3 linked regions of the Oryzias latipes genome follow. The protein of the gene in region 2 purifies or fractionates together with the protein of the main gene of each other region. This does not show direct contact. Links are inferred from orthologs where the notes say so. Each region holds a gene or a part of one and is shown on either strand. Other genes may lie near its edges.

Region 1 (4,443 bases), on a different chromosome or scaffold from region 2:
TTGCCTTCTTCCCCAAAGACGTCCTGCTTCTAATAGTTTGAGATATGAGAGACTTGTATGACGGGTCTGTCCTCCCGTGTCCAAAACACACTCCTTACCTTATCTGCTAACTATTGTGAAGACATCACTGCATTCGTTTTATTCTATTTCTACTTTTTTTTATCCTAAGGAAAAGTGAAATGGTAGAAACCCCATGAAGAACGTGTCAGACGGTAGCCGACTCCCGGTCGCTGTGGGCCTTCACACCGTCTGCAGCTCAGAGGAGCTACGGTTCTGGTTTCCTTCAGCGCCGACACACAGCAGTTATTGTTTTTGGAAACGAGACGGAACGACTGAAAGGAACAGAAGAGCCTCACTCTGGGGGGGAAAAACAGTTCTTGGTGTCAGAACAACCGACTCAGAACCCAGTTTCAGCCAAACCAGAGGCTGGTTCCTGCCGGCTGGACTACAGCAACAGTCTTCCTCAATAAGCAGGATGCTGCTGCCAGGGTTTGGATCAGAACCAGAAGAACATCCCTCCTGTTCTCAAGCCCTTATGTTGGTTAGCAGTTCAGGACAGAAGCCATCCTGAAACCCGCTCCGATCATCATCTGATGAGCTTTCAAAGCCTTCCAGGCGGCCTTTCAGTTAGGATTTTTTTTTTTTTGCCAAAATCCAAAACCTGTGTTGTTTTCCAGGACATAGTTTCTGCAGAGCGGCAGGAGTTCATCAGAGTTATGTTATGGACTCCCATTGCTCAGAGCTCGAAGCAGAGAGTTTGTGATCACCCAGCGTATCACAAATAAGCTATTTTTCTCTCAAAAGTTTTCTCTTTTTTCAAATCTGAACTGCACTTTCTGCTACTTTAAGTTGACACGCAGCTACATTTACTTTTTCTGGACGATATTCAACTATTATTTTGTTTGTACAAACTTTCCATTTCCGCCGAGCCTTCCTGCCGTCTGTATCCCAGCTCGCTTTTTCTGCCACACTCAAGTTTTCTTACGCCACAAAAGAAACCAAAAGTACCGGCATCCCATCTCACATAAAGCCAACAGCAAACATGCAGTCATTGTTTCTTAAGGTTATTTCTACTGGTCGGTCGAGTAAATCAGACTTGTTAAACCAGCCGCCTGCTCCCGGCGAGCGTTAGAAGTCCTGATGAGATTCAGATTCTTCATTGGAAAGTCATTTTGAATACCTGAGACGTGTTTGTTAATGAGCTCCTTGTCTTCATCCTGCAGTTCCTCCCAGCCCTCCAGATCGGTGATGTCTTCGATCTTCTTGGTGGTGGCCCTCGCCCTCTCCAGCTTCTCAAAGATGCACTTCACGTGATACCACTCCTTCATCTCCCCGGCAGACTCGCTAAAGGGGTTCGGCACGATTTTGCCGATCCTCACGATGCCCTTCTGGATTTTGTCCTTGCACTTCTTGCAGCCCGCCGTGCCCCGTTTGGCGTACTCCACGAGGAACCTCTGATCCGCCATTTCCGGTCGAGTAGAGAAACGCCGTCGCAGGAACAGCCAGGAAGCGGAGAAACGAGGGAGGCTGGGTTTGGAGGGGGTGGAGTGACACAGACAGGTTTGCTGTGAAAATCTTTTTGCAGAAAAACTGGAGGGAAGCTGGTCAGCAGAACGGGAAAAGGCGACTCTGCACGTAGTAGAGAGCTGCTGACGTCTAACAAAGGAGCCAGAAGGTTTTCCACCGAAACAGACAGTCTTCTGGATGGATGTGAGGAGAAGTCTCTGCATGTATTGTTGACTGTGCAGTTAGCAACCTAAAACACAACAAAACGACGGTTATATTCAAGAAAAATGCACAAGCAAATCACAAAAAATACAATTCGGTTTTGTTTGACCTAATATGTCTTGAAAAGTTAATTTTTTACGTTTACTCGTTAATTTGATTTTTGAGTTTATCAAACAATAAGCAAAAAAAAAAAAAAACCTTTTACTGGTTAGATGAAACTTTACTTTATCATGACTTATTACCTTAAATAACTTAATTAAATTACGATGATATCATGTAAAAGACGATTTAAAGAAACATGTTTTTCATTAAACTACTAAATTAACACGTTTAAACCTTTTATTTATTTCCATCAAAGATATTATTCCAACATTTCGGTTTACAGAAAGTTTTTTTAAATCAATTGAAGGTTAATAAAGTGTAATGACTTGATTCTTACTTTTCCTGATTTTTTGGTTAAATGATAAATAAAGCATAAGCAAATTCAGTTTTTCAAGGGTACATATTTTAAAAATTTTCTTTAGTAATCCCAAAAGAAAATAGTGCTTAATAATTAATAAAAAAAATGAATTAATTTTGGGTTGAAAGCTAACAAACGATTCGGTCAAGTGCTGCTAGCTTTAGCTCTGTTTACTTTTCAAATAACACTCGGGTAAAATAAAACTGCACTGAAATCTACCAGAAAAGGACGAAACATAAAAAAAGATTTTATGTCACAAATTGAGACTTTACCTCGTAAGCGGCGCTAAAGCGCTGTTTTCTTAAGAGTTTCGGCTCTGCCTCGATTGTTTAGCAACAACAAGCGGCTTCTTCACAAACGTCAGGCTAGACGCTCGTGCTTCGTAAACCTACGGTTTGGCGGGACAAAGCGACAACTCCATTTAAATATGTTTGGTTTGTTTATATACTTTTCCAAATGTGAGTATTACGCAAAAGGAAAAAGGGTTAACAGCGTGGACAGCAGGCAACAGTCCACACAATGACATTCTTCTTCTGGGCTTATTTCGACATCCGTTCCCGCTCATCACCGCCCCCGTGCGTCTACACGCCGTCATCACAGTCGCTACACAGTTCTATCGTTTTTCACAGTCTAATTTTTCTCCATAAAAGGTTAGTGAAAATACTGAAGTTGTCACATTAGACATTACATTAGCTGTTGGCTGATTTACAGCACTTAAAAAACGCTCCAAAAAAGATTGAATACAGATGTCAGATCTTTCCCAAGATTTTGTCATAAAGTGATTGAAAAATAAATACGAGAAGACCATAAAGAAATTCACATGTGAAATAAATTTATGTCTTCATAATGACTATTAAATATAAAAAGACATGTTTGCACTCTGAATTTATTACATGTGAAGTTTGTTAAAGTTTGATTGGTTGAGAGTGAGAGAAGTGAAATCAATATTTCTATATTGTATTGTATTGCATTGGTTTGGATTTTTTTTATTATTTTGTTTTGTATCAACGGCATACGATTTAATACCAATGAAAAGATGTGTTACTAAGAGGCTACTTTTTTGTGTCCTCACGTTAAAGAAAAGAAAGAAATTAAGCTTTCAGTCGGTAAAAACTATATTATGATTTAAATTATTATATTATTTATTAGATATACCAAATCTAAAAAAAAATAGCATGACAACAAACAAAACAGAATAAACGTGGAAACAGTGGCCTCCTCATGAAAGCTACGTAAATTGCGTTCTATGACACGAGATGCGCGCGCGGCGGCGGGTTTCCGGACCCATCTCGTACGTAAATACCGCGGCGCTGTCACTACGCAGTGCGGGCACGCGCAGTTTACCTCGTAGGGAGGACCCATATATTTTGTTTGACGCTATTCCAGACTCAGCGGTGGATACTTTTCTCTTTTAACCTTCAAGGAACGTAAAGGAGAAGAATGGGACGCGGCGACTGTCCGCATGTCGACTGTCTGAGTTTCCCCTTCGAACACAGACGTTTGTGTTTCTGCGTTGTATTCAGGAAGAACAACTAGCTTGGATTTTAGCATCAAGCTAGCTTGGACGCTAACTTGTTCGTGAGGTTGCAGGCTTGTTGTGGCCCGCGACGCACCGCCCAGCTCGCATCTTTCTTGCCTCCAACGGGAGAAAAAATGGTAAAACTTCATTTTTTAAATATTTATCCGCCTCTTTCTATTAAAATTAAGTGTCACGCGAAATACGTCACGTCTCTGAGACGTCGTTGTCAAGCGGTTAGCTTGACGTCTAAATTAGGTTGACAGCTAATATTAGGTGGTTACGTTTAGCAATATTTCATAACGAAAGCTGTTTGTTTTTTAATTTATTCTATCTTTAACCGTTTTTGTGTTCGCAAATTATAATCTGTTCTAACGACAGTTAAGTTTAAGTCGCTTTTTTGTTGGGATTGTTGTCCAGCCATACGTGCTTACAGGTAAACATAACTCAATATGTATTTATCATAAATAACTTGTAGGCGTGGAAAATAAACGTGGCTGGAAAAATACCTGAAGCTTGGGGTTTTCTCTGCAAATATCTGTTTGGACGAGTCCGCGTTGCTTTTGTTTATCTTGAGTGTTTGTCACCTTGTCCTTCATGTCCGGCATGTTATCACAACCTCACAACTGTGCTTTTTTATGTGTACTGTCAACCATCATGCAGTGTGTTTGTGTACATTATTTGTTTAACTTCTGCTAAAAGCGAAAACCTTTGAAGCGAGTTTGTGGTTTTATTTTGG
Region 2 (2,359 bases):
CCGGGCCCACGGCAGCAACCGGCCCCCTCCAGACGCCCGAGACTTTCACATCGATCTCTTCAAGATAATGCCGTGGTTGAAAGAACATACAGGCAAGGAGATCAAGTTCCTGCCTGAGTTTGACCCTTGATGAGCCTGGGAAGATAAATCTGCTTCAGGATGGAACAGACACCGGAGCTTCTGCAACATCCAAGCAGAAACTCCTCTGTAAGAGATTTAAACATCGTCTTACTGGTCCAAAGCTGATTTGTCCATTTTAATTAGCAAACTAAAAACGAATAAAAATGTATTTTACTCTCTAAACTGAATGGCTTTTTCGATAGAATCAATAGAGAAAGAGTGTTGGTAAAGCTTTAAGCAGGCAGAGTGATGCCATGCTAGAATAAATCCTGACCAAAGCCCTCAAACCTCATCTAACCGCTTTGTTTCTGGGGCCAAGGCAAATATTTTCCTCTTAGCTTTTACTGACAGATGGTGATGGGGGGCCAATGTAAACGTTCAGCTCTGGAAAAAGGGCAGCAAACCACAGAAACAGGCTTAGGAAGCTTTAATGATTAGTATTTTAGCGCTGAGATGAAAACAAGAAGCAAATCCAACAGTCAGGGCAGCAGGTTTACAATCCAACTGTGTTGTACAGTCATGAGTTTAACTATAGTCGTTCAGTTAACATGCAGTAACGGCACAAAGGTTCATTGCAATATAAAGGCCATTAGCTGGAATTTACCGTCGCTTACTTAACATTTAGACATAGACCTTTATTTGGGGAGTCAGCCCTCAGAAAACTGTCGGAACAGAACCTCCGACTGTCTGTCCTTGAAATTTGGAACGAAATGGATCTGGAGAATCTCAGAGAATCCTTCGGAAAGAGCAGGAGCCACGAAGTGTTTCCTGTTTGGAGCAGAAGAGGAGACAGATCGTCAGAATGCTGGGATGAAGCAGAAATGCAGCAAGAACAAAAAACCTATGAATCTCTTTGATCCAATATAAGAGCAGAAAATACAGTGACATTTTAAAATGTGACAAATTCTAGTTTTCTTTTTCAAACTATAGTCTCCATCCAGTTGTTCTGCACCAGTGAGGCTTTTTGGGTGTTGACTAACATTTCAGAGGCCTTCACTCACTTGTAACTGTGGAAAACCATTTCATTGACCTTGGCGTGTTTGCCGTCAGACGGAGCCATCTCCCGGAACTGGAAAGGACAGAAAATCCGTGTGAAAAGCGCTCGTCACAGAGCTGAAACCAAGTCAGGCGTGGGGAGGGGGGTGTCGTACTCTGTTGTTGTGCTTGGCTTGCTCCAGAGAAGCAGAGAAGTGGAAACAGCGACACGACACTCCAGCTGCTTTGGCTACGTCCACATACCTGCACAACATGCAGACCTAAGGTCAATTCACCCGTTTAAAAAATGATTAGGATTCCTTAATGTTAAAGTAGCTAAAGTAGTAGTTAGTAGTAGTAACACTCTATAAGACAGTCCATTTTACTAAGAAAGAATCTATCAGCCTAAATCAATAGAAAGAAGCACAAACCACGAACTAAGCGGCTTAAATCAAAGCTTAAAGTAAACCAGCTGGAGACTACTCCACCCTGCCTGTGTAATTATTTCTGCATGCGTGTGTGTGTCATTGTTTTGGAACCGGTTCATATGAAAGGTGAGCTGGGAGCAAACAGGCAAACTGAAACTGATTAGAGCTTCACCGTTTGCGCGACTCCGGGTCTGGGTTGGTGTTGTCGACAGCAACGCTGCGTCCCTCGCTAAGAGCGCGCTCACACACCGCCACGCATTTCTGCCAGGAGCCAAGGGTGTCCTGAGACACCAATGAGAGGATGACGATGGTTGAGATGCAGCAGCCAGTGATGTCTGAGCGACCTAAAATACTTGCAGGAGAAACTCTCAGACGTGAAAACCTTTCTTTGTACTCCACTTACCCTGTTGACATAGAAGTAACCCTTTGGAATAACGTGGGCGTGGAAGAAGGTCGATTTACCGGCTGTAAACAAGAGGGAGTGAGAACAAAAGGCTGTTGGGAGGGGACATGGGTGAGGGCTGACGGAGAGCGGGCCTCACATGCGGGATAACCGACGGCAACGATGACTTCTGTGAGACTGGAGATGAGGGAGGCGGACGGCGGGTCATACAGCCTGGCAGCGGAGTCCAGCTTCCTCTATGAGGAGCAGACAACAGCTATTAGTAAACACAAACAGGAGGAACTTCCCTAAAAGCTGACCCTGCATCAAACAAGATGAACACTAACTATTGTACGTGTGGAAGAAGAAGCCCATCTTCTCAGTAGATTACCTTCAAAAACCTGATTCATCTGCATTACACAAAACTATTTCTCTAGGCACAAAGGTGCAGGGT
Region 3 (3,653 bases), on a different chromosome or scaffold from region 2:
AGCCATGGTGGAACGTCTCTCCTCGGGTTAGAGGTTCCTGTATGTGATGTCATCAGTAATGTCATCAGTGATGTCATCAGAAAGTTCACACGGAGGTCAGACTGACGCGGTTCTGGATTCATTCTGGAATCTTTGATGTTTTCACCCCCATCATGCACAGCACATTCACCTTGTGTGAAGGTGAGTGCACGTGTGCGTCCATGTATGTGTGTGTGAGCATGCATGTTTTGTAAGTGTGTGCATGGATGCACATGCACATGTGTCCATGTTCATATATGTGTTGTTCACATGCAGATGTGTATGTTTTCGATGTGTCCAATACAAACAATGTGCAAGTATTTGTGTGTATGTGTTTATGAATGCTTTGTAAATGTGTGTGTGTGCATGCATTTGCACATGCATGTGATCATCCATATGTGAAAGTATGTGCGCACATGTGCAACACATGTATGTATGCATGTGTGAGTTTTTACATGTTAGCACATAATTATGCATGAATGCATGTGTGCATCCCATGTGGGAGTGCATCCATCTGTGTGTTTTTATCTGTGTGAGTGTAGGCATTCATTTGTGTGTGTGCACGTGTACCTGTGCCTGTGTGTGTACCTGTGCATGTGTGTGTACCTGTGAATGTGTGTGTACCTGTGAATGTGTGTTTACATAAAGATAAAGTGGAGATGAAGGGATGGCTGTCGATAAACCCATTTGATGTCTGTCTGTTTTTCTCCAGAGTTGTCATGCAAACCAATTGTTTTTCACTGATGGTTCTTGTTCTGATTGATTGTTCTGGTTTTTTATTGTCACCCATTGGTTGTGTGTTTGTATCTTTGAGCCTAACGTTGACGCTGCAAAAACCCCATTTCCCAAGCTGAGACCAATAATGCATCTTCATCTTATCTATCACTACCTGTGCATGTGTGCATATGCCTGTGTGTGCATGTGTGTGTGTTGTGCTTGTTTACTCTGCACAGATGCGTTGCTGCTCCTGCTTCAGCCGCTGGTTGTCCTCCTGCAGCTTCTGGTTCTGGTTCTGGAGGCTGTCTCCTCGCTGCAGGCTGTGGAGCAGCAGCTGCCTCAGCGCCTCCGCTGGCCGGAGCTCCGCCTCCAGGAGAGCTGAGCCTAGTCTGAACTGGAACAAATAAAAGCAGTTTGTGGATGTGGGCCTGCAGAACCGCAGATCCTTTAATCTTCTGCTTTCAGGTCTGCAGCCAGAAGACTCCTGGTGGATCTCTGACAGTCCAGACTCAGCTGTTTCCAGTTAAATGTGGTGAAAGCTGCTGTCTCTGTAAGACATTACTCACTAAAAATAAAATCAGCTCTTCTATTTGAAACTTGAAATCTAAACTTGGAGAAGTTGACAAAAACAGACCAGGATCGTTGTGGTCCAATGTCCGTCATTTATCAAAATGTGTGGTTTTTCCGTTGCTTTAAGGTTCAGTTGATGGTTCCGACTCAGGATTTGGTATGAATCTTTTTCCAGCATTTTAAGATTCCTGTTTTTGGGTTCAATCTGATCGATCTCAGCAGGTTTTCACGGTTAAGACAGAACTCTAACGGTGTGATGAAGAAGGAAAGGGGTTACAGAAAGAGAAAGAGGGGGGGGGGGGGTTACAAGTCTGAGGTGCTCCAGCTCTCCCTTTAGTCTGGAGTCCCCCAGGGCTCCGTTCAAGGGCCCCCCTCCTTGCAACATTCTTTTTTTTCAGTTTGATGATTTAGAAGCGTCTCAGCTTTTTAGCTCTCCTGACGGGTGGATCCTAAAATCCTAATCTATCCCTGAAAGTTCTATTTTAGTTTAGCTTAAATCTTTTATGTCACGGCCTGTTTTCGCGGTTAAAAAAAATGAGTTTAAACAAATAAGCCTTCATTTCTTTGAATCATGTTAAACCGGAAATCCAGCTGATTCAGTCCTTTTGGAGTCGGACCTCAAACCCTGTGACGGTGGTTCTGTCAGAACCGTTGGGGGTCCTCGGATCGGGACCACCTCAACCCAGAACAGAAGTTCTCTGTTTGGTTTTGTTTCTGCTCTTTTTGTTTTACAGCTGCCGCTAAACCAGTGCTTCCCAACCCTGGTGCTCGGGGAACAATGTCCTCCATGTTTTCCATGATGCCCTGCACACCTGACACACCCACCTGACACCCACCTGACACCCACCTGACACACACATGACACACACCTGACACACACCTGACACACACCTGACACCCACCTGACACACACATGACACACACCTGACACACACCTGACACACACCTGACACACACCTGACACACACATGACACACACCTGACAGCCACCTGACACCCACCTGACACCCACCTGACACCCACCTGACGCACACATGACGCACACATGACGCACACCTGACACACACACCTGACACCCACCTGACACACACCTGACACACACATGACACACACATGACACACACCTGACACACACCTGAGACACACCTGACACACACATGACACACACCTGACAGCCACCTGACACCCACCTGACACCCACCTGACACACACCTGACACACACCTGACACCCACCTGACACACACCTGACACCCCCCTGACACACACCTGACACCCACCTGACACACACCTGACACACACACATGACACACACCTGACACACACCTGACACACACACATGACACATACCTGACACACACCTGACACACACCTGACACACACCTGACACACACATGACACACATATGACACCCACCTGTCACCCACCTGACACCCACCTGACACACACCTGACACACACACATGACACACACCTGACACACACCTGACACACACCTGACACACACCTGACACACACATGACACACACCTGACACACACCTGTCACCCACCTGACACCCACCTGTCACCCACCTGACACACACATGACACACACATGACACACACATGACACCCACCTGTCACCCACCTGACACACACATGACACCCACCTGACACACACATGACACACACCTGACACCCCCCTGACACCCACCTGACACACACATGACACATACCTGACACCCCCCTGACACCCCCCTGACACACACCTGACACACACCTGACACACACACATGACACACACCTGACACACACCTGACACACACCTGACACGCACCTGACACGCACATGACACCCACCTGACACCCACCTGACACGCACATGACACCCACCTGACACACACATGACACACACATGACACACACCTGACACCCACATGACACACACATGACACACACATGACACCCACCTGACACACACCTGACACCCACCTGACACCCCCCTGACACACACACATGACACCCACCTGACACACACCTGACACACACCTGACACCCCCCTGACACACACATGACACACACACATGACACACACCTGACACACACCTGACACACACCTGACACACACCTGACACGCACATGACACCCACCTGACACCCACCTGACACCCACCTGACACCCACCTGACACGCACATGACACCCACCTGACACCCACCTGACACACACATGACACACACATGACACACACCTGACACCCACATGACACACACATGACACCCACCTGACACACACCTGACACACACCGGACACACACATGACGCACACCTGACGCACACATGACACACACCTGACACACACCCGACACACACCC

The links.
Region 1: the proteins of pnkp (region 2) and lig3 purify together in Homo sapiens (co-immunoprecipitation; 5 studies listed by BioGRID and IntAct, with this or other methods). This does not show direct contact. The link is inferred for Oryzias latipes from reciprocal best matches to the Homo sapiens genes PNKP and LIG3.
Region 3: the proteins of pnkp (region 2) and DNA repair protein XRCC4-like purify together in Homo sapiens (co-immunoprecipitation; 5 studies listed by BioGRID and IntAct, counting the BioPlex papers as one, with this or other methods). This does not show direct contact. The link is inferred for Oryzias latipes from reciprocal best matches to the Homo sapiens genes PNKP and XRCC4.

Annotation. Positions count from the first base shown.
Region 1 is NC_019872.2:27,669,575-27,674,017, reverse strand, and holds the start of lig3 (DNA ligase 3), read right to left. Parts: upstream 2,942-4,443; 5' UTR 2,461-2,941; intron 1,757-2,460; 5' UTR 1,731-1,756; coding exon 1,181-1,730; intron 1-1,180. Other genes in the region: tmem248 (transmembrane protein 248), read left to right, coding at 3,842-3,844. UniProt on the Homo sapiens protein: Isoform 3 functions as a heterodimer with DNA-repair protein XRCC1 in the nucleus and can correct defective DNA strand-break repair and sister chromatid exchange following treatment with ionizing radiation and alkylating agents.
Region 2 is NC_019871.2:32,547,010-32,549,368, reverse strand, and holds the end of pnkp (bifunctional polynucleotide phosphatase/kinase), read right to left. Parts: intron 2,163-2,359; coding exon 2,066-2,162; intron 1,989-2,065; coding exon 1,927-1,988; intron 1,806-1,926; coding exon 1,696-1,805; intron 1,360-1,695; coding exon 1,272-1,359; intron 1,190-1,271; coding exon 1,122-1,189; intron 889-1,121; coding exon 768-888; 3' UTR 533-767; downstream 1-532. Other genes in the region: complement C2, read left to right, coding at 1-130. UniProt on the Homo sapiens protein: Plays a key role in the repair of DNA damage, functioning as part of both the non-homologous end-joining (NHEJ) and base excision repair (BER) pathways.
Region 3 is NC_019870.2:1,165,103-1,168,755, reverse strand, and holds part of DNA repair protein XRCC4-like, read right to left. Parts: intron 1,130-3,653; coding exon 963-1,129; intron 1-962.